4 linked regions of the Rhinolophus ferrumequinum genome follow. The protein of the gene in region 4 purifies or fractionates together with the protein of the main gene of each other region. This does not show direct contact. Links are inferred from orthologs where the notes say so. Each region holds a gene or a part of one and is shown on either strand. Other genes may lie near its edges.

Evidence for each region.
Region 1: the proteins of BCL7A (region 4) and PHF10 purify together in Homo sapiens (affinity purification with mass spectrometry; 3 studies listed by BioGRID and IntAct, counting the BioPlex papers as one, with this or other methods). This does not show direct contact. The link is inferred for Rhinolophus ferrumequinum from reciprocal best matches to the Homo sapiens genes BCL7A and PHF10.
Region 2: the proteins of BCL7A (region 4) and DPF1 purify together in Homo sapiens (affinity purification with mass spectrometry; 3 studies listed by BioGRID and IntAct, counting the BioPlex papers as one, with this or other methods). This does not show direct contact. The link is inferred for Rhinolophus ferrumequinum from reciprocal best matches to the Homo sapiens genes BCL7A and DPF1.
Region 3: the proteins of BCL7A (region 4) and PBRM1 purify together in Homo sapiens (affinity purification with mass spectrometry; 3 studies listed by BioGRID and IntAct, counting the BioPlex papers as one, with this or other methods). This does not show direct contact. The link is inferred for Rhinolophus ferrumequinum from reciprocal best matches to the Homo sapiens genes BCL7A and PBRM1.

What each region holds. Positions count from the first base shown.
Region 1 is NW_022680354.1:2,535,770-2,543,419, forward strand, and holds the start of PHF10 (PHD finger protein 10), read right to left. Parts: upstream 3,010-7,650; 5' UTR 2,966-3,009; coding exon 2,879-2,965; intron 2,149-2,878; exon of another isoform or gene 1,511-2,148; intron 568-1,510; coding exon 461-567; intron 1-460. UniProt on the Homo sapiens protein: Involved in transcription activity regulation by chromatin remodeling. Belongs to the neural progenitors-specific chromatin remodeling complex (npBAF complex) and is required for the proliferation of neural progenitors.
Region 2 is NC_046298.1:37,699,840-37,707,187, forward strand, and holds the start of DPF1 (zinc finger protein neuro-d4), read right to left. Parts: upstream 3,005-7,348; 5' UTR 2,985-3,004; coding exon 2,875-2,984; intron 1,483-2,874; coding exon 1,322-1,482; intron 1,235-1,321; coding exon 1,127-1,234; intron 1-1,126. UniProt on the Homo sapiens protein: May have an important role in developing neurons by participating in regulation of cell survival, possibly as a neurospecific transcription factor. Belongs to the neuron-specific chromatin remodeling complex (nBAF complex).
Region 3 is NC_046300.1:48,259,740-48,267,666, reverse strand, and holds the start of PBRM1 (protein polybromo-1), read left to right. Parts: upstream 1-4,917; 5' UTR 4,918-5,038; intron 5,039-7,637; exon of another isoform or gene 7,638-7,779; intron 7,780-7,927. Other genes in the region: GNL3 (guanine nucleotide-binding protein-like 3), read right to left, coding at 350-437, 861-978, 1,223-1,335, 2,117-2,249, 2,992-3,075, 3,245-3,358, 3,464-3,601, 3,971-4,029 and 1 more. UniProt on the Homo sapiens protein: Involved in transcriptional activation and repression of select genes by chromatin remodeling (alteration of DNA-nucleosome topology). Required for the stability of the SWI/SNF chromatin remodeling complex SWI/SNF-B (PBAF).
Region 4 is NC_046308.1:5,321,043-5,328,640, reverse strand, and holds the start of BCL7A (B-cell CLL/lymphoma 7 protein family member A), read left to right. Parts: upstream 1-4,583; 5' UTR 4,584-4,801; coding exon 4,802-4,893; intron 4,894-7,598.

The sequences.
Region 1 (7,650 bases), on a different chromosome or scaffold from region 4:
AAATGACAAATATTGTATGACTCCACTTATACAAGGTACCTAGAATAGGCAAATTCATAATGACAAACAGTAAAGTGGTGATTGCCAGGGCTGAGGGAAGAGGGAAATGGGAATTTTTAGTGCTTAATGGTTGTGGAGTTTCTGTTTTCAGTAGCAACAAAGTTTTGGAAATGGATGGTGCTGATGGTATACACAACATTACGAATGAATTAAAGCCACCGAACTACACATTTAAAAACAGTTAAAATAGTGAATTTTATGCAAAACTTAAAAAAAAAAAAACACTCAATTGCATGGAAAGCAAAACAAACTTTGGTGTCATACTGTAAAATGTGAGAAAAAACATTCTACAATTTTTGATACCTGCTTTTACTAGAGCTAGGGGGAGGGGAGTGGAGAGCTAATGCAGAGAAGAGAAACATACCACAAAAAATGTTATTAAGCAATAAAACGACAGTACCCCAGATCTTGACTTGAAGTTTCACAACTCCTAGAGCTATCTCCTGAACCCATTCGCCTCCTTTTGGATGGTTGGGTCCCATCATTTGAATTATCTTCGTTATCATCCTATACGTTAAAAGGATTCAAAAAATAATAAGAGAAAGATTAATATGTAAAGAACGTATCTTCTCAGACTTGCTAAAAGGCGCACTTGAAGACTTTCTAAGCACAGCTGGTTATATAAATGCTAACTTTCCATTAAAATTAAAAGGAAGCCCAGAATGTGGCATGGGCAAGACCTGGAAAAAACTAAAAACTGGTCTTCCATACAAGTAAAAAACTCAATTAACCTATAAATCTAAATCTACTTTTGCTTTCTCACTTAAGGTTAAAATGCCTTCTAGTTTAAACAAACATAAAATTGCGGCAACTCTAAAATTAGAGCAAACCTTCTTACCTCAGGTAAGAACAAAATATATGGAGGGATCATTTCCTGTTTCACTTGACTCACACCTGGTTTATACTAATTGGCTATTTTAGGTACTTATATCCCTGTGAAAAGACATACAAGGACTAAAAACAGATTACCAGTCTTGTTCCATTTTTTTCTTACATTGTAAACATTTAGCAATAATATACCCTAATAAGAGTCATCAATCTATATAGTCATCAAGCAAAACCCTCCCCCCCAAAAAAGGAGAGGCTTAAAATTTTTTAAGTGACATTATGCATTATGGGATTATAATATCAAGGCTGTAAATTGGATCATTAAGGAAATGAGTGAAGTATCAAATGTTAGGAAATTGATATATTTACATATTAGCTAAGGCTTAATGACTAGAAGGCTTACATTGTTTTAAATCAAAGTAATGTAGCTTACTAAGATTAATACAATTTCGTTAAATACCAGGGTCCTCTTGCTAAGTATTAAAAGCAAAGCCATCCTGCAGAAGAAGATAAAGAGGTAGTAAGTAAGGCATGTCGGTCAGGCATGCCAAAGCTGGGCTGCCTGGGTCTGGGCCCTGCCCTTCATTAGCTGAGCGGTTATGCTCTTTGAGCCACTCCTTACCTGTCAAATGGAGAGAATAGTGCCTGTGTTGCTTGGCTAATACAAGGATTAAATTAGTTACTAGATGGGAAGCACTTAAAAGCAAGATCCAGAAAAAAATTAAGAGCCCAATAAAAGTTAGTTAATACGACGATGATGATGATGATGATGACGACGACAATTTAGAAGTCTCCAATGGCCCAGCTGTAAGGAATTTACTCTGATTCTATCCCAAAAAGTAAAAGATGCAGAATATTTTCCTTCTCCTTTTTGATTCTTATAAAATAAGCATTCAGTGGGAAGAGCTCTGTATATTCCTAAGGCAAGCAGCCAGCTCGGATGTGGAGAACTGTCTAAATATTCTCCAAAAATGTACATTTAACAGTAAGTATCACAATTGAACCATTTCATATTCAATACTTCAGGCATGATGCCTTTTAAGCATCCGGGTATCACGTGTTGCTATTTTGCTTGCTTCTGAGCACTTGAAGAATTTTTATGTCCACGTGTTTAAGTACATTTCCCTTGGCTAAGAAATGGGGACACTAAAGTCCACGTCTGAGGACTGCCACCTGACTAGGTCAGACATTTGCCCCTGAGTCACAGGTGGTCCACCCCTAAGTGTCTCTCCACACCGGTGCTTCAGGCCCGAGCGCCGCAGCCGGGACGGGCTCCAGCCGCTCCAAGGCTGCGCGCCGCGCGCGGCTCAGGCTCGTCGCTCCACCGCGGGGCGCGGGCGCCGCGGGGCAGGGCGGCCTCGCTCCCGCCAGCGAAACCCTTCCCGGGTCCCGGCGACACGGTCCTTCAGGAAAGAGGTGGATCCATCGCAAATGTCCTCTCCCAGGATCTAATTTCAACTTTTCAACAACTTAAGGCTTGAGGTTCTTAAAATTACGCCTCCGTTCCAACCTGTGTCACAAACTACAAACTTGGTCCCAGCACGCAGCACCGCACGGCGTCCCGCGGCCCCTGGTGGTCTCGTCCACTCGGCGTCGCCTCCGGGACACCAAGTCCGGTTACGTCCGGACGCCGCCAAGTACGGCGTCTTCTCGGGCCGCCGCGGAGTCGCCAGGACGCCGAGTGTCCAGGGGCCGCGTTTCCCCGCCGCTCCTCACAACTCCCGGGGCGCGCTCGGGGCCCGCGGCGTGTCGGGCCCACGGACGGCCCAGTTCCCTGACTTCCGTGTCCGCCGCGGCCCGGCGGCCGCTCGGCGGTTATAAACGAGCCGCGACGCGCGGAGGATGCGGAAGCGGAACAGGCCGCGGCCGTCCCGGCTGCGCACCGGGGGCCCGGCCGCTGTCCGAGGCTGCGGCCTCCGCGCCTCCCAGGCCCCCGCCCCGGCCCCGCGTCCAGCCCGCCCGCTCGCTCGCCCAGCGGCCGCCTCCTCACCTTCGGGGACTGCGCTCCCGGGGTGGCCGGGTCGCTGTCGCACGGCCGCGGGGACAGCGCCGTCCCGGGGCCGGCCGCCGCCGCCATCAGCCCGAGCGCCCCGCGCCGCCGCCTCCGCCGTCGCCGCCGCCTCGTCCCGGCCGCCGCCGCCGCTGCCGCCGCCGCCGCGCGGGCCGCCCGCCGCCCGGGCCCCGCCCCCTCCGCCCGCCCGCCGCCCGGGGGCCGGCCCCTGCCGCCGCGCGCCCCGCGGCCCGCCAGCGCCGCCGCCACCGCCATGGCCGCCGCCAGCGCCGCGCGCCGCCCGCCCGCCCGCCCGCCCGGCCGCCCTCGGCCCCGGCCGAGGCCCCCGCGCCCGCCGCCCTCAGCCGCCCCGCGGCCCTCGGCCCGCCGCTCCCGCAGCCCGCAGCCCGCAGCCGCCGCCGCCGCGCCGCTCCCTCAGCCCGCGCGCCCCGGGCCGCGGCCACCCAGGCCCGCCCGCCCGCCCGCCGCAGCCCCGCGCTCCGCCGCCCCACCTCCCGCCGCGCCCCCGGCCCGGCCCCGCCCTCCCCGCGCCCCCGGCCCGGCCCCTCCACGTCAGCCCTCTCCTCCCACCGCGCCCGCCGCGCGCCCCGCCCCGCCCGCCCTCCCGGTGCCCGGGGGTCCCGTCCCCCTCCCCCGGGGTCCCGCGTCCTGACCCCCACTCCACGCCGGGTCGCGGTGCGCTGGGTCCCGCGGGCTGAGAGGTCCCTGCCCACTGCCTCGCGGCCCCCTGCCCAGCGGCCGCCCCGCCTGCCTTTGTCCTCCGCTTCAGCCTGGCTGTGCTGCTCAGAACCACCTGCCGTGCATGTGCACAACCCAATGACGTCCGCAGCCGGTTCCATTTGAAAAGTTGATCACGTCCACCTCAGTGCGGCCGAAGCCAGTAACCGCAGAAGCTGCTGAAATTCAGCTTGCGTGCGTGTGACTCTGCGCTCGCATGACAGACAACAGGACGGCCTGCCGTAGAGGACCGAGGACCGACAGTGGCTCCGAGGAGGCTGCAGGGAGCTTCCTAAGGCAACCGGCCAGGGGACACTGCTGCAGAGGCCACAGGACGTTTGGGAACCACACTGATGTTTGGTTTCTGGCACCGGTGCTTATTCCAGCCTTGGCAACTCATTTAACCTCTTTTCCCACCTGTTAAGGGGAGAAAAACCCGAGTCTCCGGGATTATTGTAAGGGGCATGCATAGTACATGATAGGCCCATGAAAGGCACCAAGAAAATTGGAGCTGTTTTATTGGAACTGAGTTTACTCCTAATCCTAGTTCTTAGGCTTCACCCCGTCAGGTCTACAACTTCACCAAAATTTTTTAAAAACTCAGGAACTGAACCTCAACACATGGCAGACAGCTGTGATAAGATGACAAGGGTGCCAGAAATTTGTTAAAGTTGATCCCTCAGCAGACACTTTATTATCTTAGAAAGTACAAGACTTGTTTCGGGACAATAGAGAATGTTCTTGGATTTAGAGCTCAATATGGCTTCCTTTTCGTTCATTATTTTTGCTTACACTCAGCGGACAAGTTTGGAAACATAAAACAAAGGGATTACTTCTAGCCCATGACATAGCACAAACAGCCTACTTTGACTCTCTGAGCCCACCCTTTCCTGACCCCACTTGCACCCGGTCACAAATGGCATCGACAACAACTTCAGTCTCACAGACTGCTCCTAATCTAGACTTTGCTTTCTCAATTCCCCATTTCACTACCAAGAGTCCACTACAGAAAATGACCCTTCAGTGTCTTGATCGGCCAAGAATCAGCATCTTTCTCCAAATTCTCTTAATTGATGAAGGCTCTCAGTCAGACTCTCTGGAGAATTTAATGTATATATATATATATTGTTTTTCGGTTCTACTCTTCTCCCTTGGGAATTCTGTCTCTAGCTCAAATAAAATTTAAAACTCTTCATTCCAAATCAACAATTACGAATTTGGCCTTTCCACCAAGGCAAGGCAGAACATTAAGGAGTCACTATGTGGATTACAATCGCTGCCTGTAGGTATTTCAATGCTGGAAGAATAGGATACAAATACACAAAAGGAGCTTTAAGTGGGAGAAAATTTACTTGCAACTAGAAAAATTAAGATGTCAGGGTTGACTTGGAATTTGAAAAGTATCCTAAGAGATTGGTTGGACAGCTACAGGAAAATGTACAATTGGAACTGGAAGTAGGGTCTCAAGCCCCAAAAGACTGAGAGCTGGGAAAATAGGACACATGCCATATTCAGGTACATCAGTCATTGAATTTGGCTTGAGAATAGGGTAAATGAAGGCAGAGTCTAGGAGTTAGAGATAAATATGCAGGGAGGCAATATGATGTAATGACGAGAACAAAGATTTGAAAATAAGACTTTAGTTTGAATGGCAGCTGTGCCACTGATTAGCTGTGTGATCACGGATACATTATTTATGCTCTGACCCTCTTGTTTCCTCATCTGTAGGATTGGAATAATGTCCACTCAATTATTTCACAAATAGTTAATGGAAACCAACTATGAACTAAGAACTACCGTATGTTAGGTGATAGAAATACAAAGAATCATGTGTTCACTCATTTGTTTATCAAATACTACCTTACTATTTATCGAGTTAGGCCCTGAGTTAGGCACTAGCAATACAGTGGTAAAGAGAAAAAGGCAAAAAACTGTATGAGACCACTTAGAATATGTAGATACAGGTGAGAAAAAGGCCAGAGACCAAGAAATCCAGAGACATACATGGAAATAGAGAAGGAAGAAAACTAAGAGTTGAGTACCGTAAGCTGCGAGGCTAGTGTTTCAAAAAGAGGGACTGGTCAACTATGTCAATTGAGAAGTTGAGTTAGGGGACAGAGAAATGCCCGCTGTGTTTAGCAATTTGGGGATAAGGAGCAACCTTAATTCCTTCAAGGTTATTTCAGTGGAGTGGCAGTTTCAAAACTAGATTGAAGTCAATTAAGGAAGCAATAGGAGGCTAGGGACTGTAGCCAGAGTATAGGAAGCAGTATGATTGCAAAGAGTAATGGCAGAGAAAAAGGGTAGAGGGGTGGGTCATGTTTTGAAGATGGGAGGCACCATGCCGACAAGAATGACTCAGTAAGAGGGCGAGTCATGGCGACAGGAGAGAGAGGACACGGCTGCTGGGAGCGGGCTGGTCCATCCCTCGGCACAGAAGGGACACATAATGCGGCTGCAGATGGAAGTAGGGTTAGAGATTTGCTGGTGGAAAACCTGAAGGATTTTCCTCTGATACTTTCTCTTTCCTTAATAAAGTATGAGGTGAGATCATCAGCTGAAAGCGAGTGGGAAGGAGGGATACAGAGAGTTGGAGGAGAAAGAAGGTGTAGACAGTAGAAGAGCAGTTTCCAGGATGCCAAGTGGTTTGCCCTCTGGAGGTTTGGGGTCATGAGTTAAAAGTGCAACCAGTCAGTCTAGTTTTCCAATGTTCTCAGTCAAGTTTAGCTACTTGAATTCAAGCTAGTCAAGTGGGTAATAGGGTCCATTCAGGAAGGGGTTTTCCCAGGTGAAGAAAAGAGGCAAAGGGACCTGGAGTGTGTTTGTAAGGCAGTGATTATACTGATGGGCCATGACAGCTGAGATGACCAAGGACAAGAAGAGGACTAGTAATAGTGGGGGAAGGTAATGAATTGGAGATTTCAATAAGATTGAAGAGTGGCTGTCTTCAGGTACTACAAGTGGTGAGCAGGAAGGACAGGAAATAATTGCATGAGAATAACCTGCTTGGAATTGCAAGTTCAGAGGTCAAATTGACTTTGATAATCACAAGGTCTACAGGGTGAACCCAGGTGAGCTACAGGAAAAGGTCACTGAGCGTGAGTTAGTCAAGGAACTGAGAAGCTAGAGTCCCAGCTTTGCCGGATGCCACAGGACTATAAGAATGACCACAGAACCCACAATCATGCAAAGCAATTTTAAGAATCAAAGAGAAAAATTGCAATTGTTCTATGACTTTAAAAAAACTTTTGTTAAAACATCAAACTCCCTTACTGCCAATTATAAATGTATATGGAATGTTTTTGATTGTGAAACTTACATGTACTGAGCACACTGCAATTTAGAACATGAGAAACACTGAGAATTATTTTCTTTGTAAACAGTTTTCCAAGAGTAGTTTGAAGTGTGCTTGCCTTCTGCCCATCCTATGACTTATATTTTCTATATCTTGATACGTTGTCATACTTTTTTTTCTGAGCTTGGGTAGTTTCCAACATTTTGTTTTGCATTTTCAATGCTGTAAAGTATCTCCAAGAGTTTCTTTAAAGTGAAGTTGTTACCAGTTTCTCTTCCTCTGGACATCTTCATCCTTTCGCCACAACTGCTTGCTCTCACTCATCTGAAGTCACAGCAGCACCCTGACTGGAGCTAGCAGCTTCCCAGGTAGCTCAATATTAATTCACGTCGACTTATAAAGTGACAGAAGCAGCTTTACTGGCAGGAAAAGGTGGTTTTTCAGTCCCTTTGTAATGAGTTTTTTTTCAACATGGCAACTACAGCACTTGGCTCCTGTGTGCTCGCTAGCCAGACTGGGAATTTTATTTTATTCCAGTTTTCTATCCAAAGAGGAAGGTCTTTCTCTACATACATGGGTTTCTGTTCTGAGAGCAATTTAAACTAAAAAAATGTTGACACGACTTGACCTTGCTTTTTCTGCTCACTGGCTTTTCTCCCTGTGGTTCCTACAGTACCATCAGCCAGGCATAGCGGTCATCCTATCTAGGCTTTGCTGTTGTCATTTTCAAATGTCCTAA
Region 2 (7,348 bases), on a different chromosome or scaffold from region 4:
CCTCAGCGAGACCCTCACTTACACCTGGACGAATATGGAGAGAGACAGACAGTCAAACAGGATACACATGAACATACACACGGGAGATACAGACAGATCATCTGAGATAGTCAGACAAAGGAAGAGACATACCCACTCAGATGCATCCAGACACGTGGAGGAGACTCATGCAGACCCTTGGATACACCCAGGGATGCTCAGAAAGAGACTGTTTGACCATCAGACAGCCATACCCACATGGGGAAGACACAGCCAGACCCTACCATACACCTGGATACACATGGGGGAGATAGACATAACTAGAGAAAATCACTCAGATGGATACACAGGGAAGATCCACACAGTCCCTCTGAAGCAATCAGATACACCCAGGTAGACATTCTAATTCACCTGGACCCACACAGAACCTTGGGTACACCTGGACAAGGGAAGAAAAATAGCCAGTGACTCTGATAGCACTGGACACATTCAAGAAGTGATAAGGTCAGACACTCTGGTGGACCAACACACATGAGCAGAAATACACCAGACACTAGGAGAAGATAACCTCCCAGATGTTCGAAGCATCTGGGCGCTCAACAGAAGAGGCACCCGGACACCCTGCTATACCCAGACACACTCAGGAACAGCCAGATATCCTGACAGACCAAACACACACGAGAAAATAAACCTTCTAATACACTTGGAAACACCTGGAAAGAGGCTCAGACACTTAGATACACTCTATTACAATGGCAAGAGTTATACCCAGACACTCCAACACATCAAGACACACTCGGTCACCCACAGGAAGAAACAGAGCCAGACTCTCTGATACATCCCAGCTCACAAGGGAAGAGATACAAAGACTGGATACACTTAAACACACATAACAGACACCAGTCCGCTCTCAAATACACCTGGGCCCACATAGGAGACCATACCGTCCCAAGCTCAGTCACTCAGGGAAGACGGGAAACTCTGGACTACACCCAAGCACACACCAGGAGACACACAGCCAGCCACTCACACACTCTCTAGGAGGGAGATAAGGCGAATGCTCAGACACACGCTGGCATCGCTACACACTTAGAGTGTGCTGGGGACACTCATGGGGGCTCCCCCAGGCACAGGCAGCTCCACCCACCGATCTTGTACTCGCAGGGCCGGAGTCTGGGGTCCTCCAGAATGTTGAGTCGCCGTTTCTTTCTCCAACAGCGGGCAGGGTATGTGTAGATCTGTCCTGGAGCCAAACCTGGAGTGAGCAGGGCGGTGAGAAGAGCAGTAAGAACGCGGCTGCCACGCCGCCGCCCCGCCCCGCCCCCGCCCTCCTGGCGGGTACCTGGCCCGCGGTGGGTCTTCTCCATCCAGATGTAGCAGTTGTTCTGGGCCACGCCAGTCTGCGAGTCGAGGAAAGGCAGGCGCAGGCTGCGCTCGGCGCACAGGCGCGCGTTGTAGCTGCGGCAGTGCTCGATGGCCTCGCGGTAGAAGTCCTCGCCTAGGCTGCGAGGCGCGATGAGAGGCAGTGAGCGGGCGGGCTGCTGTCAGCAAGGGCAGGCGCGCCAGGGCGCCCAGTACCCCTCCCCCGGCTCAGCCATCCGGAACGGGTGGGCCGACTCTGCCAACCTCACCTGTCCCTTCTGGTCGCTCCTGGCTCCTGGACCCAGGAACCCCCCACCTGAGACTCAAGTAAGCCAACGAGTAGCCATACACAATATAGAAACAAAAACACAGTGGGACCTATCCATATATGCACATATCCAAACACACAACACAAATCACACATAATCACATAGGATTCACACACAAAGAGAAACATATCCCAAGACTCACAAAGGAGAAACAGACAAGTCTCACATATGTGCACACACACATATCTACTGAAAAACACAAATATCCCGTCACACAGTATAGAAACAGACAGATCACACATATATCCATGTACAAATACACATCCCATATCCAAAGATACACAACATAAACAAATCACCCACACAAAGACACACAATATGCAAACAGATCACACCACACACACACACACACACACTCATGCATCCAAACACATACACTTATGCATCCAAACACACATACACAAATGTTAAAAGAAATGTTAAAACAAACTACCCACATATGCATTTACACACATATCCACAGACAACACAGACAAATCTCACATATACACACACACACTACAAAGAAATCAGATTCACACAGGATACACACATTCACAAAGATACACAATATAGAAGCCAACATCTAAAATACCATATATTCAAACACACAAAGACACACACATATACAACATAAAAACAGACAAATCCACCCATATTCACACAAAAATTTACACATAGATAGATGCATACCTACATATCCAAAGACACAGAACACAAATGATGCACAGTTTCAAAGGACATGTACACACACTCCAAGACCCAAATACCCAATACCTAGTGTGGAATAAAAGAAATGAAACACATCTCCATGCACATATCCAGAAAAACCAGAAAACAAACAAGTGACACACACTCCACATCCCAAGACAAAGGTAGTGTGGGCTTCACTCAAGTTTACCAAGGTCCGCGCACCCCGCCCGCCCACCCCCCCGCCATTTCACCCTCTCCCCAACCCGGGTAGTCGCAGGGTGGGACCTGACCCCTGCCTCGAACAGGACCCGAAGAGGACTCTGAGTTCCCCCCACACTCCGCTCCTCCAAGATCAGCGCATCGGACCCCGTTCTTGTCAGAGACCCATAGTCACACACTCGCACCCCCGCGCAGTCGGGCCCACGGTGACAGCCCCCCAGACACCCATCGGCCCCACCCCCAGCTGCCACACACACACGCTCGCGCAGACCCGCCCGCATGCCCTCCCCAGCCTGCCGCCTGCCTGCAGCACCTCAGGGGGCCGGGGATGACCGTGGCCATCTTGCTCCCCGGGTCCTGCCCCCAGCAGGTCCCCGCCGGGTCGGTCCTCCCAGCGCACGGGCGGGCGCGGAGGCCGCCCATCCATTCATTCCCGGGGGGCGGGAGCAAGAGGGCCACAGCCAATCACGGCGGCGGGGCGGGCCCGCCTGGGCCATTCTGGGAGTCGTAGTCCAGGCCTGGGAGATCGCGGGACCCCGCGGGTAAGAGGGTGCAGAGGTGGGGCCGGGCAGCACGCACAGTCACTCACACACGCTCACTCATACACTCATCTGGTCTCACGGCGTACACGCACATCGGACTCGCACACCCACACGGCAGTTTACACACATATTCACATGTATACTCACTGCTGCCCACTCAAGCACACTCCACTCCCACACCTCACACACTCACATACACACACACTTCAGAGCCAGGAGACTCAGACATTTTACAGATGCCTACACAAACGTCCCACCAACATCCGCGGCTCGTGCAGACGCTGGACTCACTAATACCGCCCCCTCCCCACCCTCCAGTCACTCCTAGCTCCGGAGAACCCTATCCTGTCCCACTCTCACAGAGACCCCCCGCCTGCCCTACTCAAACCTTTCGCAGCCCTGACAGCAGCAGTGCTAGTTAGGAGCTGTAGCCATATTCCTCTAGGTTCAAATACTGGCTCTGCTACTTGGTAGCCATGTGACCTTGGGCAAATAATTTAACCTTCCTGGGCCTCGGTTTTCTCATCTGCAAAATGAGGGTGGTGCCTCATTGGATGTTGTAAGGATTATATGACATAAGTGAAGTGTTTTAAAAGGTACCTGGCAGGTAGTAGGTGCTCAATAAATTCATTCATCCCACAAAGAGGATCTGATATGTACTAAGATGTAAAATGGTGATATTGTTACCATTAGAAAGAATAATGCCTGGCACATAGTAAATGCCCAATAAATATTTGTTGAATGAATGAATAAATATACTGAACACCCACCATGTGCTGGGCACAGTTCTAAGTGCTTTACAGGGATTAATGACCCTCCAGGGTGATGATATTATTACTCCCGTTTTCCAGATGAGGACTCTGAGGCACAGAGAGGTGAAGTTACATGCCCCACAGCCTCCCAAAACAGGCTGTTTGAAGGTGTGACAGGGAAGGATTCACTCCCCCAGGTGCCTATCCCCAAGTGGGCCTTACCACCTTCTCTCTCCCACTCTCCCACTGTCATCCACACTGACTCCACCCTAAGAGATACCCAGAGAGTGAGCTGATTCACCCGGTCACACACACTTGCTCAGTCTCTATGCACACACCCACAGCACTCCTAGTCCAAACTTTATGTTCAGGTTTGAGCCTCGCATAAATGAAAACACCTACCAACGTCCTGTCCACCAGGGGGCTCTCCAGCAGACACAAGAGGCATACCAGCCTTCACCCCTTCTGTTTGATTCCCTCACCTAACCCTGGTGAGAGATCCCCTCAGGCCTCCCATAGCCATACACACAAACACCTCTAGTCTTAGACCCCTTCCACACTCTCCCCATCACCCCCCAAGGAGGTAAGGCCTTGAGGGAGGGGTCTCTGCTTCACATCTGGCCCAAAGGAGGTGGCAAGGGGAGTAAGTCAGGGATTGTGGCAGCCGCATGCTCACTATGGCCTCCAGGCCCCTATAACAGCCATTCCATACGTCATCCACAGTAAGCCGTGGCCCTGACCTGTCAGCTCAGCTCAGAGGGTACCCTTGCCACCTTCCTCTCTCACCTGCCACCACCACCCTCCAATCCCTCAACACACCCGCTAACACTTGCTCCCTACGTCCCTAGCCTCAGAAATCCTGGCTCACTACTGCCCCACCCCCAAACTCTCTCATCGTTTTGGAGCCTGAGTGTAGACACTCCATCACCTCCTGGAGGCCCTTGTCCACCCACAGACCCAGGCTGACACTTACCCTGTTTCCCTGAAAATAAGACCTAGACGGACCATCAGCTGTAATGCGTCTTTTGGAGCAAAAATTAATATAAGACCCAGTATTATATTATATCACATTATATTATATTATATTGACCCAGTCATAGTAAAATAAGACCGGGTCTTATATTAATTTTTGCTCCAAAAGACGCATTAGAGCTGATGGTCCGGCTAGCTTTTATTTTCGGGGAAACATGGTAGAGAGGAGTCTCCCTCCCTTTCCCTACCCCGTCAGTCACTTTCACTCACCTTCACTGACCCCTCTCCCACACTTGAACTCCCAGTTCTCTCCCCTGCCCAAACAATCCTATCCCCACCCCCCAATGCCCTGTGGGAAACTGGACCACAAATGAAATCAGTATTGACACTACTACTACTAATCACTACATTTAGTCAGGGTCAGGCTCTGTACTAAGTGCTCTACAAAGATCAAACAGCCCCAAGAGGTAATAAGAACTGTTATGATTCCCCAATACACAGATGGTAACACTGAAGTGGGGGGAGGGGGGATTCATGGCTCAAGCTGGGATTTGAATGCAGGCAGGCAGAATTCCTAAGGGCTGCACCCCCAGCCTCCCACTCCCAAGGGGAATAGACTTGCACATTCTTTCAGGAGCTAGTCTCTATCCTCACCTCTGCAGAACCCTCGAAAAGTGAGAGCAAAGAAGGAAGGGTGCTGGCACTTCCACCCCAATGCTAACTCTGGCCTCCAGGTCCCTGCAATGGGTTGTCCCTCACCTCCTCCTAGAGGTCTAGGCCAGGGTCAGAGTGAAGAGGCCTGGATGCCGATAGATCCACCAACTGGCACAGGAATCCAGTCCCAGCCAGCTGGAGGGCATGGCGTCCTCATAGGAAGACATCTGTCTGTGAGTACGACTTAGAATGAGAGGGAGGCAGAAAAGTGTCTCCATCACACACCATCTCACACTGACCCCAGCCCCACACCGGCTGTCCAAGTCCTCTTTTGCTCACCGCAAAGCCACCAGCCACCCTCCTTTCCCAACTTCTCCCCGCCAGAAACCAGAAACAACTGGGGGCATTAGAGTGGGGGGTGCTCCCGTGCCCCTCCCCTCTCCTCAAGCCCCCAGCACATGTTGCTCAAGGTCAAGGCAGCAGGCGCACCGGGTCGGGGGGAAAGGTGGGGGAGGTCGCCCGGCCCCTTTGTGCGGCGCCGCGGGCACTTGCCCCTGGTCTTCTCCCTCAAGCCGGGAAGAAGGGGGAAGGGAGTGCGCGCTCGCCAGCAGGGGAGGGAGGGCGGGAGCGGCCGCGCGCCTGTCACTCCGAGCACGCTGTCACCGCCAGGGGAAGGGGGGTGGGGAGCGCTGGGACCTGGGTGTACGGGATCCCGACAAGGGAGAAAGAAATAGAGATGGAGATGGAGATGGAGATGGAGAGAGAGAGAGAGGGAGAGAGAGATGGAAAGAATGAGGATGGCAAGGAGAGGGGAGAGATGGGAAGGAGCTAGGCACGAAGGTGTCCGGGTTCCCAGACACTGGGCCCAGGGAGGAAGCTAACGCACGGAGGAAGGAACGCGAACAGGGAGAGAGGGAATCCCCGGAGACTAAAGGCGCTCCCAGCACCTTCTCCCGAGGCATCTGGTACCCAAGGGGATGAGAGATGCTCGAGTTAGATGTGTATGAGCGGGGAAGAGAGAGAGATTCCACAGTCTAAGCTGACGGGGGCATCGGGGCTTCTAGGACCTGAAGACCCAGGAGGAAAAAAGAGGAGACAACAGGGACCCCCGACGTCTCAGCTCCCACCCTGCGGCCGCGTGGACCGAGGTCCGGGGAAAAAGAGGCAGGGAAGAGGAGAGAAAGGTGTTTCAATGAGGGGCAAGGGTGGTGGAGTCCCCAGACACTGAGGTCTGGACTCAGGCGTGCGTACTCCCAGCCTCACGCTGGGGAAGGCCCGGCGCCCCGAGAGACACGGAGCAGGAGAGATGGAGGAGGAGGAGAGGGAAGCCCCTACCCCCACTCTGGGTGGGGAAACGGCCTCTGCCATCCCCCAACCCGCACCACATTCCTTCACTGACAGCGACAAAGAAGAGGCGCCCCCGCGACCCTAGAAGGGTTCCCGCCCCCAACTCCATGGGGAGACAGGGGTTGGCGGGCGCCTTAGGGGTGTGGGGGCGCTCCGGAGGGGGCATTCAACTACCATCAACGCAGTGCATCCCCTTCCCCAGCAAGGGCGGGGGGAAGGGCGGGGCGGGTGGAGGGACGTGGACAGCGGGGACACTCACGACTTGAGCGGGTTCTGAATGGCGGTGGCCATCGCCCGCTCGGCTGGGCCACCTCCGGCCCGGGGCGCCGCTGCCGCCGCGCGCGGGCCCAGCCCGGCCTGCGCCGCCCGCTCGGCCGCCCAGCGCGCTACGATTTCATTCATTCTTAGGGCTGCGGCGCGAGCGGAGCGGGGCGGGCCGGGGGCGGGGCTGGGCCAATCCCCGCGCCTCCCGGCGCACGACGGGACCTGGAGTCTAGGGGCGAGCAGCGGAGCCCGAGGG
Region 3 (7,927 bases), on a different chromosome or scaffold from region 4:
AAAGAGAAGCACTACATGTTATAGCTTACATATTGACCCAAACACATGCTGTTTCCTCTGCATAAATGTTTCCCCTCTTCTACCTGGCAGACTTCTATTCATTTCAAGGCCAGGTTCAAGCATCGCTTTCTCTGAGGCAGCTTTCCCCCTCAATCTATTTGCCAGTCTTTCAAACCAGATTGTGGGCAGTTATTCCACTCTAATTCTTCCCCAAGCCTAGTACTGGCTTAACCCTCTTCCTTTCACTGACACCTCTAAAGAATGGGAAATTTTCTTTCTTAAGATATCCAAAACAATCATATTTACTCATCCATAATGAAACACTACGATATGGAACAACACAGTTTACCTTGTAAGCCCCATGGATACACCGACATTACATATCCGTTCTTGTTTTAAGCTATTGATGATGCTGCTTTTCCCCACATTTGGGAAACCTATAAATGGTATAATAAATCCACAGATACAAAAGGCATTAAGTGCTGGTAACGATAACATTTCCACTGCTTTATTTTATGCTTGCTTGATGTGTAGAGCAAGATCAGAGTTGAATCTGAGTGTCTTCACTTCATTACTAAGGTCAATCTTAGCAAACTCATTTCTTACACAAGTAATAAGAGCAGGAAAAGACGACTAAAATAAACCAAGAGATTTTAGAAGCCAACTTCCTACAGTGCACAGTTGGCAAAAAAACAGAATTAAGCAGCAATCACTTAAAATTTCTGTCTTTACATTGTTTGTATGTATTCGGTAAGGTGGGCAAGAAGTTAGTGTTTATGTTTAGCAACAACCCCATACACTCTTAACATGGAAAAGTTCTTGGAACTTTAAGACATAAAATGTGTTGAACTGTAACTCACCAATTACTCCAACCTGAATAGCTTTGCCCAACATCTCCCGAAAACCTCTAAGAAGCTTCCAAAGACCTTCTTTCCCAATGCAGACTTCACTTTTGAATGGAGCAGCTTTCCTCTTTACCATCACATTAAAAATGCAAGTAATTAGTTTAACCACTTCTGACAACCCATCATATAAAACTCGAAAATCTGGCTTCAGAGCCCAGCCATTAAAATCACATGCCTTTCAGATTACCTCTGGATGAAATCAGAGTTGGATCTTATAAGTTCTCATTTTTTTAATCAAGATTTTGTATACTCATCATATTTCAGCCATCCAAAAATCTGAAAGAAACACATCCCCCGCCACTGACAGTAAAGGGTACCTTGGTTATCTTCCGTTTGTCCTTCAGATTTGTTGAGGCTTTGAACACCACTGTTGGCAATTCCTTCTTCAAATAATTCAGCCAGTTCTCCAAATTTTCCTTTGGTACCAAATCTGATAGAGATTAGGAATAAGACACATGCTCCAATTTGGTCATTTTGTTGAGATGAATTTGCAAAACATGGTAAACTGCATTTCACTCTGGTTTGCCTTTTGTTTGTTTTCGCCCCCAAAAGGATTTAACTGGAAGATGGGGAGAGCACAAACTTCCAACCATATACCATCCTTATCTTAACAGTGTTCAATATTTACACCTCTGTATTTCTTCAATTCTCCTCTGTACTGCTCACCCTTTCAGGATTAAGTCAACCTCTAGATTATTACCCTACTAACCCTAGGGCTATGTTTCCAGAATTTACTCTCCAGTAGCAGCCATGTTTACTGACCCCAACAGTAATTTTAGATCCCATTGTTACTTTCTGCTTCACAGATCTCTGAGTTTTCCTATTCCTGCTGTTCAAACCGATACGTAACTATGCATTTTATCTAATAATTGTCACACAATCAACATTGTGCAGGTGTGGGGAATGACACACTATCATCACTTCCTATGTGAAATATATTACGCAGTAAGCTGAGTATAGAAGCTTACACTCTTAAATAAGGTGATAAGTACTGAATGGCAAAAGGAGAGCAGAAACCAGTGAAACCACACGTAGAAAACACCTCCACCCCACTGTCCAGCATTGTCTTTAGCAATAAGAAAGGAAATGCACTGGTTTTGGTGAGGTCAGAGTTGGATCTTATCAGTCTTCAGTGACAATCAGACTGTTCAGATGTTTTCCTCATACCTCACTAGTGCGTATGGAACACAAAGGGCATCCTTTTTGCTTACCTGATTTATTTAATACAAGTACCAACTTTTTCTGTCCACCCTGGACAATGGCCTCTTCTACCTGGGGACACCTGCAACCAAGAGGATCTCTGGCATCCAACACTTCCAGCACAACATCTGAGGCTTCAATCACCTGTCAATGTATAAATGATCAGAAGAGCAACCCTTGCTTTCAGAACACCCTCCACACAAGTATACTGAAATTATCCACTTTGCAACAATGTGATATGGAGAATGTCCGTTCATTTCTCCCAGGAAAGTAAAACACAGGTTTGTTCAGTAGCTTCTGGCCTCTCATTAAAGTAGATTTCAAAAGCGGAAACACCCCCACTGTCTGAATATATAATCTTCCCATCGTGAATTGGGTAGTCTGCTAAGCTCTTGTGGCTCTGCCAAGAGCTGATGAAAAGCATAGTCAAGTTCTATTTACAGGGGAGAATGAACTTGGAAAAACAGGTATGAAGGGTGGGAGTGCTGGGGAGCAACTACACCAAGACACCCTCTTGATCTACTTCACTTAGGTTTCAACAAAGTACTTTAGACTCTTATTTTCACACTGCTTACTCTAATGTATTTTCCTTTACTTTAAAAACCACTGTGCCACTTTAACACAATGTCACTTTAACACAAATACCACCTTTGTAAATCATGTTTATGGGGAACTGTTCTGTTGCAAAAGTTTAAAACCACAAGAATATTTCCTTCAGCTAACTGTAACAAAAAGGCCCTAAATAGGATAAGCCAATTTGCTGAAGGCTTCCTTCTAGCTCAAGTGAACTCTACTCCCAACTTTATAAGGTTGGTGCCAGGAAAAAGGAATGACTAGTCTTTTAAACCTCAGCACCCATTTTAGACACTGACCTAGACTAAGATACCTTTTTGAGTTCCTGACAATACAACTTCTTTGGATTCTGTTTGCCTGCCTTGGCTTTGTTCTTAGCGTTGCACTGCCCAAATTCCTAAAGGACAAAGACAAGGGGAAAAGAACACAGAATTAGAAATTCAGCAATTGTAACCTGTTTCTCCATTTTCCATGACTGATTAGGGAGGCCACAATGCCTGCCCTGTTATGTGCTTTTACTTCTACATCAGAACTCATCTCTCATTCACCAAGAGACCTAATCGTACCTCCTTCACAAGTTCCACATTAGATGGCTCAACATCAGAGTTAGTGTCAAGTTTTCTTTTCTTTTCCTGTTCTTTCTGCCTGTCAAGTTTCTGCTGCTGTTTTAGTTCTTCAAGCTGTGTCAAACCATAAGAGAAATGGGTGAGCCAAAGTGACTTGGTATTGTTATTTTACTATGAAAAAAAAAAAAAAAGTTGAGTATTTCAGCTAAGGTATCTTACCCGCTGTTTCCTTAGCTCTGCTTCCCGAAGAAGAGCCTCCTTAAAAGGAGCACTGTTTGGAACTCCTAGGTCTTTCCTAGATTTTTTGTGGCCCCGTTTCTTAGCCTCCTTCCTCAATTTTCGATGGTGTTCTCGAACCTATCATAATAAATTTGTCAGTTTACAAAAATGCTACACAAAATCCTTGTGAGAAACAAATCGGGCTGCAGTTTAGTTATACCTGTAAAATGACCCAGAAAAATGTAACTGTAATTGTATCATTCGGAGACACATATTTATGCATAAAACATCAAGAAAATGTCACCAGAAGTTTTTTGCAGAGGTGGTTAACATGTTGATCAAAATTATAGACTTTCTGATCAATGAATTACTGCTCTTTCCCACAACTGTACTCTTGATACCTAAGAGCTTGTGAGATAAGATCATAATAATCCAGGCCTCCTCCTGGAGAGGTGAGGCAGAAATCAGCATTATATCTGGTATAGCTCTCCCAGGCACAAGACTTACCTTTTTTTGGATCTTATACCGCTTATGGCAGGTCATGCGTTTACTTGCTTTCTTTAACTCTACACAGAAACACATCACAAAAAAATTAGACACACACGATCAGTTTGTTTAATTTTTGGTCACCTCCCTTTCGGTGTTAAGTAATTAATAAGCTCTTAAATGTAATTTAAGAATCTTGTGGGGTACATAAAATACACATGCCACTCAAATCCCTGAGAATTTGACTCAGACCCAGAGTAGAGCCCAACTTCCCTGCTCCCACTCTTCTCATTTTAGCCTGGGATCGTACTCAGGAATGTGAGACCCAAAACGACATCCACTTCCTTGTCAAACAACACGAATCACAACGCACGGGCGAACAGTGGATTTGAGAGGCGGTTCTCAGACCTCACTGGAGCCGGACTGAACGTGGCGCTGAAGGGAACAGGCTGAGCCCTAAACCTGGCTCAGACACTGTTTCCTCACGAAATTCTGGTCTGATCTCCACCTCTGGGGCCCAGTCCTCCTTCTCCATTATGGGCCCTGCGGTTAACGTGGCTCCTTCAAACACTCGGTTCTAACCAGAATCAGGGCGATGGCCGATGGCCTACCCGCAGATCCCCATTGCCACAGAGAACAAGCCGCAGAACAGCACCCTGATGGATTCGTCGACCATCAGAGGGAAAGGAGCCTCCCCGCCCGCTCCCCGACCACACTCACTCGGCCGCTTCATACTGGAGGTCGGAACCGCTGTGGCGGCAGAAGCAGTACCTACAACCTGCCTCCACCGAGGCCACGTGTGAACTGAGGCCACCGGCGAGCGTCACGCACTCACGCTGCCGCCGTAAAGCGCGCCGCCTCCGGCCCGCGTGCGCGCGCACGCAATGTCGCGCGGAGCCAGGTTTGCTTGGCGGCGCCAGGGCTGGGTTTGCGGCGGCACCGGGAGGGGTGAGGGCGGTGAGGGCGGCGGGTGTTGGAGTGTCGGCCGCGGCCGCGGACGGAGGAGCAATAGCAGCAGCCGTGGCGGCCACGGGGCGGGGCGCAGCGGTCGGGGACCGCGGCCGGGGCTGCAGGCGGCGGAGCGGCTGGGTAAGGCCGGGCCGGGGACGGGCGGGGCCGCCCCTCTTCGGCTGGCTGCCGGGCCTTTGTGTGGGCCCTAGCGGGCGGGAGCAGCGGCGGAGGCCCCGCCCCGGCCGTGGGGACGCGCCGGTCTGGCCGGGTGTACGAGGTGGGGCGGGGCACGGCGGCGGGCACCGAGACGGGCCCGGCAGCCGGGTGGCACCTGCCTGCCGGGACAAAGGCGCTCCGCGGCCCGGAAACGCCCCGCGCCCCTCTTTCCCGCCCCCGGCGGCTGGCCGAGTGCTCGTCGCGGGCAGCTTCAAAGCTGTCAGCGTTTTCCCTAGTGCCCCCTTACAAGTGACAGGTCGGGAAAGTGTTTTATTTCCTCCGCAGGTCAGGGCCTTCTTTTTTTGTTGTTTCTTGACAGTCCGGACACAAACTCTTCTAGTGATTTTGCGGGTTTTTTGGTACACTTCCTCGATGACTGTTTCAGACCGAGTATTTTTATCAATGGGACTTGTATTTGTAGTTGACGCTCGATATTTCTTATCTGCAACATCATAAAGAATCGAGGTTTTCAAACTGTACATTTCTTGTTTTTAATATTTTTCCATCTCTTAAAATATTTTATTGAGAGGGAAGCATAGTTTTGTTATTATAGGGTACATATTGGTGACGTAGAAGGGAAGCTTGGCAAAAACGTAGAAGAAATTCTGAAAAACAAGTGACAAATACACAGTATTATGGATATAGAAATTTTTACAATTACAGAAACGTGTTGGAGTAAAACATTTTTGTTAACTTATTCTCCAACAAACGAGGTCTCCTCAGAAAATGATTTTTAGGTTTTTTTTTTTTCCATTTAGAAGTGCACTCTTTCCCAAATATCAGAAGCAAATTGAACTCAATACAAGTAGTATAAGAAAGTAGTATAATTTTTGCTGTATTACTTGTTAACAGATTGCTTATATTTTAAAATCCAAAGGAAGATTAAAAAGCATCTTTTAGAGAAAGTTTTAAATTAAAACAGTAACAGATTTATGTGTGGATAAATGAAAGGGCCTTGACCACTTTCTTTGGCTTTGGGAGTGTACAGAAGACCTCAGGTATTAATATTGTACCCAAATTCCCAAGATTAGGAAGTTGTGATATATCCATATGGGGATGTTAGACAACTATCGAGCCATCAAATATCGTGTAGAAGAATGTTGACTTGGAAGAATCTTCCTTAAGTTAAAACAGGCTGCAAAATAATACATATGGTTTGTTAACGCTTGTGTTTAAAAAAAAAAAAAGAGCAACTAAGGCATAGAATAAATACTGAATGCTGTGAACGCCAAAGATAAGTGTGTTTTTTCCTCAGAGAAGTAGGATTATAAGTGATCGTTTTTTCTTTGAATCGTGTTTTCCACGACTTGTTTTAAGCATGTGTTTACAGTAATAAGTATCACTAGAAATACAGCGGAGTACTAAAAGTTTATAAACTGTCAAAATATACCGTTTGTCTATACTGAGTAAATACTTTCCCAGTTACACATTATGAAGTTATTCTTTAGTTTATCGTTGGTTGTCAGACTTTGGACATGTGAACATAATGCCATTTTAAAATTTGTTATCCAGCTTCAGAATCTATTTCTTTCCTCTTCATGGAAAAAGGATTGCTGACGGGATGCTCACAGGCTTTTTAAATTACACAAACTTTTTTCAATGTCCCATGTAAGTGCCCTTTTAATACCTTTATTAAAAACAAATTGATCACCCAAACTATACCAAATATTATTCTATAACCAGGGCTGCAAAATGAATAAAATTCTTTTCCTGTGCCCACGGAGCATGTACTCCGAAAGTTGAAACTTAACATTTTTGTTGTGCTTTGAAGTTCCAAAGTGATTTCACATACATTTCATTGTCATAACAATCCAAGGGAGATATGTACACTTTACTGTTCTCATATTAGAAATGAATAAACAGAGCTGCGGTTGTGACTCAAGCAACATCAAACAGATAATTAGAGGTGGAAAAACTGGGACTCTTGTCTTCTGGATTCAGGTCCTATTGCTCCTCCCACCCAACTGACCACATTTCCTGTCTTGCCAAACTTCCAAAATGTATTTTAAAATGTGTCCTTTGGTAAGGAGAACTGACTCCGGGTGGTGAGCACACAATGGCATTTATAGATGATGTAACACAGAATTGTACACCTGAAATCTATGTAATTTTACTAACAATTGTCACCCCAATAAATTAAAAAAAAAAGTGTCCTTTGGATAAAAAAAATATTTGAAAATTATCCTTAAGTTGCATCTTTTTCTTTACTTACCAAAGTAAATTAATGATTCAAGGAGTTTTGGATATTGTATGGTCTAAAGTATGCATACACCAATGATTTATATTTTTTTGTCACTTGATTTTCAGCGGATTATTTATAAAAGTAATTTTGACCTACCAAAATGGTTGAAGTTTTTTGTTTGTTTGTTTTGTTTTTAACCTCCCTAAACTTGTACGTGGTACCTTCCCAATGCTGATAGGACTTTTGGAAAGAAATGTCTTTCTCTGAATTTTTTTTTTTTTTTTGGCGGGGTGGAGTTTTCCATACTCTGCTCACATGAACCCATTCTCTGTTTGTTCCAGCTTGCCAACCCTTGGTGTCACATGTGAGCCTTCCACATGTGTTCGCTCTCCATTCCAGCTCTGTGATTGAACTCTGCTCTTACTGACTAGGGGGCATTTGGGCAGGCATGCTTCATTCCTGGAATTGACAGTCATTCCTTGTGAGTAAAGGGGAACTTCAGTGAGACCTCTTTAAGCACAAGTATTTGGTTTTAAAATGGAAGAAATATCAGGTACTTTTAATGCCTGAGCCTTTGCAGCAGTTTGTTTCATTGGCACAAGAAAACTGATACGCCTATTTTCCCCAGT
Region 4 (7,598 bases):
AGAGGTGCCTGGGGGCGGTGGCCAGGGAAGGCAGTGGTTACGTGCTGGATGGTCTTGTATATGGAATGGAGGATGTTTAACCCGATTGAAGTGAAGGGGAGAAGTGGATTAAATTGGCATCTTAGAGGCCTAGAACCGGGTAATGGGCAGGAGGGGGTGTCTGGGGAACGGGACAACAGTGAGGAGACTCTTACAATAGTTTGGGGCGGAGTGTAGGATTGCAACAAGAGACGAGAGTAAGGGGCAGCTTGAAGACGGTATCAATCACTATCTTTGGTTTGTAGCAACAGAAATGGGTTCTGGTTAGCTTAAGTGGAAAGGGACTGTATTTGAAGACTATTGGGTAACCCACAGAATCAATGGAGAGACTGGAGAAGCAAGGTCTGGAAATGAGCAGGAACCAAAGGCAGCCAGGATGCCAGTGGTAGTGCCACCACTGGGAGCTCAGTGCCTCCGATCCTCTTAGTTCTCCAGTGGCCACTTCTGCTCTAGGTTATTTCTCCACTGCCCCTCCTGTCCCACAAAAAATCAGAGTCAAAATCAAAGCCACAGTGAGATACCACTTCACCTCCACTAGGATGGCTAAAGTAAAACTGACAGATAATAACAAGTATTAGTGAGGATGTGGGGAAATTGGCACCCTCATTCACTGGTGGTGAGAATGTAAAATGGTGCAGCCACCTTGGAACAGTCAGGTAGTTCCTCAAAAATGTTAAAGAGAGTCACCCTATGACCCAGCAATTCCACTCCTAGGTACGCTGGTGAGAGAAATGGAAACACACATCTTCATAAAAACCTGTATGCTAATGTTCATAGCAACGTTATTCACAACAGCCAAAAAGTGGAAACCACCCAGATGTCAATGAATGAATGACTGACTGAATGAATGAATGAATGAACAAAATGTGGTAAATCCATAATAGAATTCTATTCATTCATCAAAAGGAATGAAGTATTAATACACACTACAACATGGATGAACCTTGAAATTATGCTAAGCAAAAGAAGTCAGAAACAAAAAGACTCATATTGTATGCTTTCTTTTATGTGAAATGTCCAGAATAGGCAAATCCATAGAGACAAAAAGTAGACTTGTGGTTGCCAGGGGCTGGGGCAAGGGGAGAGGAAGAGTGATTGCTAATAAGTAAAAGGTTTTTTTCTTGGATGATAAAAATGTTCTAAAATTGATTGTGGTGATGGTTTCACCACTCGGCGAATATACTAAACACCACTTTGAAAGGGTGAATTTTTAAGGTATTTTAATTATATTTCAATAAAGCTATTATTTTAAAAATTCGACTGCCTAGACCATCCACCAACTGGTTAAGTTGGGCCCCAGGCCCAGGACCTAACTCCGTGGGTGAACAGAGCTTCCGTAATGGGGTGAGGGTGGCTTCACCCCCAAAGGCTCACCCAGAACTAGGAAGGGTATTCAGACGCTGGGCAGCCAAAATGACTGCACATGTGGGAGTGAAGCTGCAGACACTTGGGCGGCCTTGAGATTCCTGACCTGAGAATTCGCCAAGCCTGTTTATGGACAGATTCCAGCTTTGCTCCAGGTCACTGGGTCATGACCAGACAGCCTGCGTTTAATTATTCATTGTTAGAAGAGTGTCTGGATTACACGTCTCACCTTTGAACACATTAGTTTCTCAAAGCACTTTATATATATATATATATATATATATATATATATATATACTATCTCTTTATTTTCATATGACCCCAAATGGCCCAACTTTTAGGCAAGCCAATGGCTGCACGGATGGGGATGCAAATTGCCAATCCACTGGTGTCTTGAGCTGGTGAGTTTTTATAGTTGTGGTTATAGTACTGCGAGGCAAATGGCAGTGTTTGGTTTAACAGAAAACTTTTTCTTTTTTTTCAAGGCCTCCCCAGTCTATTTGAAACTCACCATAAGGCTCACACGTTGGGGGAGACCTTCCCCACAACAATTGGGGATCCCGTTAGGCTCCATCAGTGGTATGCTGGTAAATGTTTACCAACCAGCTCCGAGTGGCGTTGGGGAAAGGGTCCTGATGTGTAGCATTTGCTGATTACCATAGTGTAAAAGCTCCCATTTTTGATTTCAGACTATCAATGTGAGGTCACTGAACACAAAGTAAAGAAGTGCAGGTCTGTCAGCCAGCTGCCCCATCACTGACCCTGTCCTCAGGGTACAGCAAACAAACCAGTCTTGCTCAATTGGGCAGCCTGTATTGGCATCACCTGGGTGGTCCAGGGACCCACAAGCCCAGAACTCGGTGGAGGTCGCCCTGGACTAGCAGTGCCCTCAGGAGCCTGGCAGAGCAAATGTAAAACGTCTCTCAGAGAAGGTAACTTCATCCTCGACCTCAAATTATCCCTATAAATACATGTTCAAATACAGTGTTCAGCATGGTCAGAGAGAACCAGGCAGATCACAAGGAAATAGGACACCATGAGCAAGAACTAGCAGAAACAGACCCTCAGATACTTCAAATATTAGAATGATCAGACACAGACGATAAAATAACTGTGCTTTGTTGAAAGAAAGAAGTTTTAAAATCTCTGCAGTGGTCAGGAAACCATAAAAAGCGACATGCCAGATTTATAAAGAACATTTGTAGAAAGCTTTACAGTTTAATCAGAAATCAGATACACAAATTCCTTCAGGGGCCATCTGGTAATAAATGAGTAAAAAGACCGGGTAACACACTGGTGATCTGGAGAGCTTTGTCTGAGGGGACACAGAAGTTCTCAGCTACAGCCGATTGTTGCCATGTGGTACTGGGGACCCAGTTTGTAGATATCTGGATTTCTTTTCATTGTGGTAAAATACCTATAACATAAAATTAAGCATTGTAAGCATTTTAAAGTGTACAATTCAGTGGCATTATGTATATCCACCATGTTGTGCAACCATCACCTCTCTAGTTCCAGAATTTTTTCATCACCCCAAAAGGAGACCCCATGTACCCATTAGCAGTCATTCCCCATTCGTATACCCCCCTTCCCGGCAACCACCAATCTATTTTCTGTCTCTCTGGATTTGCCTAGAGATCTCATGTAAGTGGAATCATACCGTATTTGTCCTTTCGTGAGTGGCTCCTTTCACTTAGTGTGTTTTCAAAGTTCATCCATGTTGTGGCAAGTGTCAGGACTTCATTCCTGCTTAACAGATACACGCATTTATCCATTCATCAGTCCATACTTGGATTTCTGATGTATCTTGCTATTTTAAATTCAAATATATATATATATATTTAAAAGTTCTGTGTGGCCCCCAAGCGCATGTCAGCTGACCTGACCCCGACAGTGTGAGACCTCTGTTTTAGGGCCTGCTGTTACATGTTTTCCCTTGTTCTCCTCAGAATGATTCTCTCAGTGTACCTTCATCTTTCACATTAGTAACTTGTGGTTCAGAATGGTAACAAGACATGACCAGGAAACGGTCTGCAGTGCAATCTCCCACTCCATTACCCTCATAGCTTCTCTACCCAAAACCAAAACCTCTGGGCAAGCTGCTTGGTTCTAGAGTGAGTGGGAGTCAGAGTTCTAGTAGCTATGGCTATGACCTTGAACTTCCTGCGATTCCGTTTCCCCACGTGTAAGATGACTGGTGTTGGGCTAGTTTATCTCCAATGCCCCAGGCTTGCTGACAGGGTCACTCCCACTTTCCCCAGCATCCATCTGGGTGTGAATTAGCTCTGGTCAAGTCTGGTTAGCTGCACCTGAATACAAACATGGGGCACCTGAGTTGTCCTGATACTTGTGGGTTCCTCCACAGAGCTGTCCTGGGGCTGGACGGGGAAGAAACAACGTGCAGAGCCGTCCCTGTAGGCCGGCCCGTCCATTTTACCTGCGCCAGGGTCATTTGTGCGGTCGCGGCATCTGCTCTGAGACTGGGACTTAAGTCGGGAGGGCCTTACATTTAAATCGTGGTTCTCCGACAAACCCAGCGCGGGCCCTTTATTTATGGTGAGGGCCACGATCTCCAGGGGCAAGCAGAGCCCCGGTTAAAATGCTGATCACTCTTGAACTTTCCCTGCCGAATGCTACTTAGTAAGCAAGGTCGCGAGTGGCACCTTTCCTCCGACCCCCGTTTTCCAAAGGATTCAGGAAAGGGAAGCGACGTCCTAGCTCGGGTGTCTCCACGGGGGCCAGCCGAGCTCCGTGTTTCTCAACTGTCTCCAAGAGCACTCGCGTCCCGAATCGTCGCCTTCAACTCCGCGAAGTCAAGAGCCCCGCAGGAAACTTGCATTACTGCACCGGCTGCCGCAAACCCGGGGCGGCGGACCGGCCGCCGGGCTGGCTCCCAAGGAACGCGCTCCCTCCGCGGCCGGCCCGACCTCCCCGGAGGACCCCGCGGCACCTGCGGCCTCCGGGTGAGTGTCCGTGCGCTCGCCCGCCCGCTGCCCCCTCCGCGTGCCGGGTCCGGGTCGCCGGGCGCCCCCGGTCGCGTCCCCGGGCTGGGTGGGAGGCTCGCGGCGCAGCCAGGCGGCGCCCGGAGGCCGCACTGCTGGCGGCTGCGGCGGCGCTGCTCCCCCTGCTCCGAGCAGCTGCCGCCCGGCGCTTGCGCACTGGGCCCGGGCGCGCGGCGGCCCCGGCTTTGTGTGTGTGTGTGTGTGTGTATGTGTGTGTGTGTGCGTGTGTGTGTGAGTGAGTGTGTGTGTATGTGTGTGTGTGTGTGTGTGTGTGAGCGTCTGTGTGTGTGAGTCTGTGTGTGTGAGTGAGCGGCGGGCGGGCGCGAGTGTGGCCGCCGCGGAGCGCGAGCAGGACCCGGCGGCGCGCTCGCAGCCTCTCTCTCCCCGCCAGAACCATGTCGGGCAGGTCGGTTCGAGCCGAGACCAGGAGCCGGGCCAAAGATGATATCAAGAGGGTCATGGCGGCTATTGAGAAAGTGCGCAAATGGTAAGCGGAGGCGCAGCTCGCCCCCTCGGCGCCGCGGCCGCCCGACCCCAGACCACATACAAAAAGCCGGCGGGCGCAGCGTCCCGGCCGCCCGCGGGCCCGGGAGTTGGAGAGGGCGGGCGGCGCGCGAGCCGGGTCACCTGCGCGAGGCGGGGGCCGCGGCCGCTGCCCAGGTGCGCTCGCGCCTGTCGCCCACCTGGCGCGGCGGCGGTGGCAGCCTGGAGGCGGGGGCGCCCCGAGCCGGGCGGCTGAGCGGCGGGCAGTCCCCGCCGCGGCGCTCGGCTCCCGGGAAGGGGGGCTCGGGGCCGGCCCCAGAAGCCATTTCGTTTTGTGCAAGTCACATGAAAGCGGCTTCCCGCGCGCCGGGGCCGCGATGCCGGCGGCGGAGGGGAGAGCGCGAGCTCCATTGTGCAGCGCGGAGCGGGCCGCCGCGGTCTCCGTCTCCTCCCCGCGCGCCCCGGGCGGCGCAGCGCCGGCCCCCGCGCCCTTGCCCGCGCCGGGCCTCCCGCCCTCGCTCCCTCCCCAGCCGGCTCGCTCGCTCGCTCCCCGCCTCCCAGGCCCGGCGCCCTCGAGTCTGCGGAGTTTGCAGAGCGCGAGCCGTTTAAATTTAGCGCTTTGGGCTGCCTGGAGCGAGGGCTGTTGGCGGGGAAGCAAGATGGGGGCGAGCGCGAGGAGGGGCGCCGCGGGGCCCGGGGCGCCGGGCACCCCCTGCACCCGCTCCAGCCGGCACCCGGGCGCGGGGCTCGGGCGAGCCAATGTTTTTGCCCAGAAACCGGTCCTGGGCCGCGCGTCTGCCTTTCCCAAACCAGCAGCTCGTGTTTGTTTTGCGGAGGGAGCCGTTGTTTTTGTTCTCTGCACGGGGGGTGGGGGGGTGGTGGGAAAGGGAGACTCCGGGTTGGCCGCGCGTGTTTCTCCAGCTCGAGCTAGTGTCCGGCGTGGCCTTATTGTAATTAATAGAACTGAATGTTTGCTTGGCCCCGGCGGGGTCTGACTCGGAGTCGCCCGAGGGCCAGGCCCGAGACGCAGCACATCGCCAGGTTGGGGCAGACTTGTTGAAAACTCCCAGCTCCCTGATTTCAACTTTATTATTTTTTTTTCCCACGGCTTCACCAGGGTCAGGGAGGGAGAGGAGCAGCCGCGACGTGCTGGAGTGTCAGTGCCGGCGGGCTCGTCCTGACCCTTTATTTAAAGCCTGAAAACTGGGCAGGCCCCCCGTGGAGGACTATGTTTATGTTTAGGGGTGTCATTTCTTGAGTAACGCCTTGGTCTCTAAAAACCACAGGGGGCCAGGATCCAGTCTAGCCGTGTCACAAGTTAGTTGTCCTTTCTGAGTCAAACCCAACAAAAAAGGCAGGAGGAAAATCAATAAAGTCCACGTGCTCCCAGGCCTCCTATGGAAAGGGCTGTCTGCAGATGGCCGGATGCCCGGCCGAGGGCTGGGTTTGGCTCCAATGGGACAAAGAATTTTCAGAACCGTGAGAAGGGGAGACTTTCCAAAGTTGAAATCCAAGTCTTCCGTGCTGTGGGAGCTCCGCTAGTGCTCAGGGCACCCCGATTGGGACTGGACCCATTTAAAAATGGCAGAAACAGCTGCAGGCAAAACACACACCGGAAAACAAGTCCACAGCCCCCTCTCCTGTGGGATTTCCAGAGGGAAGGCTGGAGTTGTCCCCTATCTTAGCGCCTTTGTAAAGAGAAAAACTGGTGTCTGGGCCTGAGTCCCTTCTATCACAGGCCTGGAGGTGAGAAAGGCTGGGGACAAGCTGCTTTTTTCTGTTCCAGGAGGCATGGTGGGGCCTTCTGCCCCAGGTTCCCAGCCAGGCAGAGGCTCCTGCACCCTGACAGCTGCTCCTGTAGGGCCTGCCTGGCAGCTGCTCTGCAGGGAGGGCAGATGGAACTATGGGGTTTTCCACCCTGTGGGCCCCAGAGCAGCCTGCCTGGAGGCTTTGGATGCTGCTGAACCCACTGCAGGCCCAGCCTGTGTTTAGGGGAGGGGAGGAGTACTTATGTCCCTCCCTGCTTGTGTTTTGGGTAACAACCTGTCAAGTCCTGTAAAGACCTCAGGCTTGGGATCTCAAGGCTGGACTGGGCTTCCAGGTAACTTCCTTCCGTGACCTTGGGCAAACCATGGTACTTCTCCAACCATGGCAGCAAAGGGGTTCTGTGCTGCTTCCTTCCCCACTCCCCCACTAGAATAAGAGCGGGTCTCCAACAGCCCTTACCCCTGTACACTGGAGCAGTCATTAAATGTCTTCATTATAAGGTGGGCTCTGTCGAACTTGTATTTTGCTGATTTTTTTTCTTTTTTTCCTGCCTCTTCTAGGCAAAAACAAACAAACAAACAAAAAAAAAAAACCTGCCTTATATCTTGGGTTTCTCCGGCCTCCAGAAGCCAAATCTCACCTTCACTCTGCCTTTAGAAGGGGTCTTCCAGTCAGTCCTCCAGACGTTGGGTTGTTTATTAACTGCGTGGCCACCAACCATGCAGTTCACCGTTGGCTGGGATGCTGGGTTGCCAGATTTAGCAAATAAAATGACAGGATACCAAGTTAAATTTGAATTTTAGGTAAACAACAAAATAATTTTTAAAATAGGTGTTTTTGTTTTTGTTTTTTAAATATAAGTATGTCCCATGCAATATTTGGGACATGCTTATACTGAAAAAAAATTACTCATTGTGTATCTGAAATTCAAATTTATTTCAG